2 linked regions of the Saccharomyces cerevisiae S288C genome follow. The gene in region 2 interacts genetically with the main gene of each other region. Each region holds a gene or a part of one and is shown on either strand. Other genes may lie near its edges.

What was found.
Region 1: mutations in KEX1 (region 2) and DFP2 together harm fitness more than expected from each alone (negative genetic interaction), as found in Saccharomyces cerevisiae (2 studies listed by BioGRID).

The regions. Positions count from the first base shown.
Region 1 is NC_001133.9:184,745-187,104, forward strand, and holds DFP2 (DUP240 family protein), read left to right. Parts: upstream 1-1,576; coding exon 1,577-1,801; downstream 1,802-2,360. Other genes in the region: KTD1 (DUP240 family protein), read left to right, coding at 148-852; pheromone-regulated DUP240 family protein PRM9, read left to right, coding at 2,092-2,360.
Region 2 is NC_001139.9:111,947-116,571, reverse strand, and holds KEX1 (serine-type carboxypeptidase), read left to right. Parts: upstream 1-1,907; coding exon 1,908-4,097; downstream 4,098-4,625. Other genes in the region: ARO8 (bifunctional 2-aminoadipate transaminase/aromatic-amino-acid:2-oxoglutarate transaminase), read right to left, coding at 1-513; YGL204C (uncharacterized protein), read left to right, coding at 4,567-4,625.

The sequences.
Region 1 (2,360 bases), on a different chromosome or scaffold from region 2:
CCTTCGGGACGTTGCAACAATACGTGAAAAATGCCTCAAAAATAATAAATACAATGGTGAACAACGTTAAAAAAGCATAAAACAGCTGGCTATTTTGATCAGGATAACATCTATAAGTGCCATATTAAGGCAAGATATCAATTGACCATGCAAACACCTTCAGAAAATACCGACGTAAAGATGGATACTCTCGACGAACCCAGTGCACATTTAATCGAAGAGAATGTAGCTCTTCCCGAAGACACATTCAGTTCACATCTGAGTTATGTACTTTATGAAATTGCTCATTGTAAACCGATCATGTTTATGATCATCATAATCGTGAGTTTGATCTCATTGATTGTGCTTTTTCATGATAACGACGGGTGCACTGTGATCTTAGTGATGTCCCTTATAGTAGCCTCCATGGCTTTAATGGTGGTTGCAGCATTCACATTCGGGAAAGCGATCACTGAACAGGAGTTCATGATAAAGCTTTTAGTGGAGGTGATCGCACGCAAGCCTGCGGGGAAGGAATGGGGTACTGTCGCATATAATATGAACCAATATCTATTCATGAAGAGACTATGGTATACCCCGTACTATTTCTATAGCGGCAAGAAGTGCCATGAGTTCTTCACCACTCTTATCAAGGAAGTGAATTCTGGTTCGCACTCGGATTCCTCATCGAATAGTGCCGAGGATACACAATCACCTGTCTCAGCAGGGAAGACTTCAAATGGTCTAAACAACTTTTATAGTATTAGATCAGACCCTATTTTGATGGCATATGTTTTGAAGGCAACACAAATAGAAAAGGAGGCTCAAAGTGAATACTGGAGAAAGCAATATCCTGACGCTGATTTACCTTGAAGCGGAAGCATTTTATTCACCAAGTATACTTACTTTTCTTTAAAACGAGAACAAGAATCGAATTCAAGAACATCTCGAAGCCAGAATTGAGCATCATATATTCGAGCTGTACAAACATCATGGCCTACAACTATCGTATTTGTAAGTTTTTTTAGAGGTTTTCATATTTGTTTAATAAGGGTTCTGTCAGTTTTTGTCACATTCTATTGTTGCGCTTCGCATAATGCAGCCAAGAAAATCCAAACAATAGAAAAAGAAAAAAAGGATCTCAAAAAGGGTTTGGTGTTGTAGTTATAAGAATAACTAGTGAATAAAAAAGCTGTTGTTTGGTCCGTATTACATTCGTCAAAAATTTAGTACTCAAATCGTGTATGCAATCGCAACCACAAAATAAAAATATTAGACTGGATGTGTTGAGTGGAGATGGTGCCAATTTAGTTGAGGGAAATGTGGTCCTTCCCAAAGACATGTTCAATTCGTACTTAAGTTATTCACTTTACGTGTTACGAGGGGGCTCATTGTAAGCCGATAATGATTATGTTCCTGGCATCTGTAATTTTGATTTCACTGACTAATTTCCGAGTATACCATCTCATGTCCCTTCTATCCTCTTTTTTCATCTCCGGGACAGACCGACAATAAAGCATCTAATATTAGGCTTTCGTTAGAGGTAAGCACACGCCAGCGTTCGGTGAAAGGGGAATGAAACATTATCACGTACAAGATGAATAAATATCTATTTGACCATAAAATATGGAGTACTCCTTACTACTTTTATTGCGAAGAAGATTGCCACCGTCTTTTTCTAAGTTTTATTGAGGGAAGAACTTTCGAGAAGCCAACAAGCAACGCTGAGGAAAATGTACAGGAGACTGAAGCTGGCGAATCTTTCACATTAAATCCCGGAGAAGATTTTCAAAATTGCTTTCCAAGACAGCGGATATTGTAGAACAATCTCAAGTGAAGTATTGGCAAGATATTGGTGCAATTATTTGAAAGGAAGGAGAAATATTCTGACAGTACCTTGCTAGCAAAGGGATTTACCAATCCACTGACGCTAAAATGGGGTAGTAAATTAGATAAATTGCATTCTAACGTGACTTTATATAGTGGGAAACAGATATGTAGCACACAAAACGGCATGATTATGCTTAATTGATTCCTATTTTTTAACGTAAATACTCTCCCAGAACGATCAGAAAACTTAACCCGCAACCATCTTTGCTGTGCTAACAACTTATGTCGCCTCAATACCATTTTTATTTTGTATCATTCCGGAACTTAGTATTGAATGAAAAATGCCTCCGAAGTAAAAAGCAGGTGATGAAAAGTTTCAATTGGTATAAGACAGATCGCTATTTTGATCCGCATAACATCCTTCAACACCATAGCAGAGCTATAGAGAAGACAAGATATAAACTGGGCATGCAAACATCTTCAGAAAGTACCGACGCCAAGTCGGATTTTCTCGACGAACCCAGTGCATATTTAATTGAGAAAAATGTGGC
Region 2 (4,625 bases):
AGCCAATGAAGAGGAAAAAGAATGTGCCTCAACTAAGATGACATCACCTCGGTTACAAAAGACTCTTAAAGTAGATTCCCAGGCATTTGTGTTACCTGCAGTGGCTAAAACGTCCCAGTCCTTATACTTCAAATCGTGGATAATCTTGGTATGATCTCTAATGAAGTTTAATAGTTCAGGTTGACCAGCACTGAACCCGTATTGCAAAGCTCTTGACAAAGGAATATCGTTGGAAGGATTGGCACTTTTATCAGCGTAATCTTTGTTGACGGTGTATTTTATGCAATTCTGCTCGTCAATTGGAGCTCCAATACCCTGGGGAAAAGGAGGCTTGGGTGAATCTACAGATAGATTATCCCATGGGAAATAATCTTTTAATGGCAGGCCACCACCCAAAAAGATAATGTTAGGATCTTGGAAAAGATGGATGCAGGTTTTCAATGGGGATGGTTTACGAGCATTGGTTTCATCCGAAAACAAGTAAGAAAAGTCTTTTGATTCAGGTAAAGTCATGATAGTAACGATCGGTTGTCCTATTCAATGTCTGTATCAACTGCAGGGTTTAACTTAGTGGAATGGAAAAATAAGAAAAAGAAATAAGTTCTTAAAGATATAACCAAACCAAATATATAGTCTAGAGATGTGTATAGGAGGGTCTACAAGATAAGAAAAAAGATTGCGATACACATATCTTCAAATGAAATGCGCTTAATATTAGTCATAGATTGGACCTCGAGAAAGTGAAAAAGTGCAGAGTGAAAAATGTGATAAAAAAAGGAAAAAAAGACATCTAAGGTAACCCGGATGTTCTTCATTATTCCGGCGCAATTTAGTACTGTTCTTCTATCAATGGCAATTCAGAAGCCAGATTCTTGAATGAGGTGAAGGAGAACAATGGTTATAGGTTAATTAAGAGATTTTTGGATGGTGTATATGAGCCATGTTTAATCTTGGAAAAATAGTGAACCGGGAAAAAAATAAAGAAGAACTCCTCATAGGGGGCTCGAACCCCTGACATTTCGGTATCCTTGCTTAAGCAAATGCGCTTAAAAGCCGAACGCTCTACCAACTGAGCTAACAAGGATGAGTTCTTCGGATTTCTTCGATAATAGTTTTAGTTAAATATACATTATGTTCACATAATGCTATTATTTAATGCACATGTTAATGGACGGTAAACTACTTATCATTTATTGCAACAAATGAAAAGACACCACCCTAACAGCACGAAAAATGATGTTAATGTCTTGTATAGTATTGTCGGATAACTAACTCTCGTCTCAACAAAGCTTAAATAAGAGCTGAGAGATTGGTGAATTTTAAGATGATTGTAGGCATTTCATTGTTGATCAAGGCTACAATATTATGTATACAGAATATACTAAAAGTTCTCCTCGAGGGTAGAGGAATCCTCAAAGGGGAAGCGATATTTCTACATAATATTATTACGATTATTCCTCATTCCGTTTTATATGTTTCATTATCCTATTACATTATCAATCCTTGCACTTCAGCTTCCTCTAACTTCGATGACAGTTTCTCATACCTTATGTCATCGTCTAACACCGTATATGATAATATACTGGTAGTGTGACTACTAGTTTATAGACGATAGTTGATTTTTATTCCAACAGGATCATTTTGTTAGGTGAGGAATTGCGAGCTTTTTGGCTATAACTTTCAAGTTTTGTCACCAACATTTATATTTGCTTACTGCAGCCCGGAACCGAAAAACAATGTGGAAAAAGAAAAAAAAGTGGAATATTTTGATAATATAGGAAACATTAAGAAAAGCGATTTCTTATCATTGTCTTCAACTCCCATCTATTTGAAAAAGCTTGCTGAAGCATACTTTGGTTAAAGAGTACCTTGGCTATAGAATACCGTAGAGATAAAGACCTGAATAGATGTTTTACAATAGGTGGCTCGGAACGTGGCTAGCCATGTCTGCTTTAATAAGGATCTCAGTATCCCTTCCGTCATCTGAGGAGTACAAAGTGGCATATGAGCTGTTGCCAGGGTTATCTGAAGTGCCAGACCCTTCAAATATTCCACAGATGCATGCTGGCCATATTCCTTTACGTTCCGAAGATGCGGATGAACAGGATAGCTCTGACTTGGAGTACTTTTTTTGGAAGTTTACCAATAACGACTCTAATGGCAATGTCGACCGTCCCTTAATTATATGGTTAAATGGTGGACCCGGTTGCTCTTCCATGGATGGTGCCTTGGTCGAATCCGGCCCTTTTAGGGTGAATTCAGACGGTAAACTTTATCTAAATGAAGGGTCCTGGATATCCAAAGGCGATCTTTTATTTATCGACCAACCTACTGGTACTGGGTTTTCTGTCGAACAAAATAAAGACGAAGGTAAAATCGACAAAAACAAATTTGACGAAGACCTAGAAGATGTGACCAAGCATTTTATGGATTTTCTGGAGAACTATTTCAAGATTTTTCCAGAAGACCTCACTAGGAAAATCATACTATCGGGTGAAAGTTACGCTGGCCAATACATACCATTCTTTGCCAATGCAATTTTGAACCATAACAAATTTTCAAAGATCGACGGGGATACATACGACTTGAAGGCGCTATTGATTGGTAACGGTTGGATTGACCCCAATACACAGTCCCTATCGTACCTTCCGTTTGCTATGGAGAAGAAACTGATTGATGAAAGCAACCCCAATTTCAAACACTTAACGAACGCACACGAGAATTGCCAGAATCTGATAAACTCTGCCAGTACAGATGAGGCAGCCCATTTTTCGTATCAGGAATGTGAGAATATTTTAAACCTTCTATTGTCTTATACCAGGGAATCTTCGCAAAAGGGAACAGCGGATTGCTTGAACATGTATAACTTCAATTTAAAAGATAGTTATCCATCTTGTGGTATGAATTGGCCGAAAGATATTTCCTTTGTCAGTAAATTCTTCAGCACACCTGGTGTTATTGATTCGTTGCATCTTGATTCTGATAAAATTGATCATTGGAAGGAATGCACTAATAGCGTTGGAACTAAATTGTCTAATCCTATTTCAAAGCCATCTATCCATTTATTACCTGGTCTACTTGAAAGTGGAATAGAGATTGTCTTGTTCAATGGTGACAAAGACTTGATTTGTAATAACAAGGGCGTATTAGATACTATAGACAATCTAAAATGGGGTGGAATAAAGGGATTTAGCGACGATGCTGTTTCGTTCGATTGGATCCATAAATCGAAGAGTACAGACGACAGCGAAGAATTTAGCGGATACGTGAAGTATGATAGAAATTTGACGTTTGTTAGCGTTTATAATGCTTCTCACATGGTACCCTTCGATAAAAGTTTAGTGAGTAGAGGCATTGTCGATATTTACTCGAACGATGTTATGATCATTGACAACAATGGGAAAAATGTTATGATTACTACTGACGACGATAGTGATCAAGATGCTACTACTGAAAGCGGTGATAAGCCAAAAGAAAACCTCGAAGAGGAAGAACAGGAAGCGCAGAATGAGGAAGGAAAGGAAAAAGAAGGCAATAAAGATAAAGATGGCGATGATGATAACGACAATGATGACGACGATGAAGACGATCACAACTCCGAGGGCGACGACGATGATGACGATGACGATGATGAAGACGATAATAATGAAAAACAAAGTAATCAAGGCCTCGAGGATAGTAGACATAAATCTTCAGAATATGAACAAGAAGAGGAAGAGGTAGAAGAATTTGCAGAAGAGATTTCAATGTATAAACACAAAGCGGTAGTAGTTACCATCGTTACATTTTTGATAGTGGTTTTAGGAGTTTATGCGTATGATAGAAGAGTGAGGAGAAAAGCGCGTCACACAATTTTAGTTGATCCAAATAATAGACAACATGACAGTCCCAATAAGACAGTTTCATGGGCAGATGATCTGGAAAGCGGACTCGGGGCAGAAGATGATTTAGAACAAGATGAGCAGTTAGAAGGCGGAGCACCCATAAGTAGCACTTCTAACAAAGCAGGATCTAAATTGAAAACTAAGAAAAAGAAGAAGTATACTAGCCTTCCGAACACTGAAATCGATGAATCTTTTGAGATGACTGATTTTTAACTTGGCAAATAAAAATATATAAAAAATACAGAAAAATAGTTATAATACCTCGCACACGCTTTTCGTAGTAACAGCGACATAAAGATAAATTCTTTAAAGGGTACAATCCATCAAGAACTGACTGTTTTATTTAATTCACACTACTGAACTTCATATTAAAGTGTCGTCATTTAAGTCTAGTAGGTTATATTAATCGCGCACAATAGTTTTTTTTTATGCAAACTGTATCACGAATATTTTTTCAGTTTTCGGACCATTTTTTGACATTTTTAACCAGTTTTTAACATTTTTATGGTAGCGTTCTTTTATTTTTCACGTAATTGCATTGAAATAGACATAAACGTATAAAATAATATACAAGTAATTAGAGCTTTTGAACGAGATTGTTTAGTGGTTGTTTTAACTCCTTCACAGAAGTTGAAAACTTCAACGCATTCATAGCCCCACATATCAACACAAATCCCTGGAAATGAATGGAACTGATATCCTTCGTTTTTTGCAATCTTCCCCCACCATTAGTTACAGCAA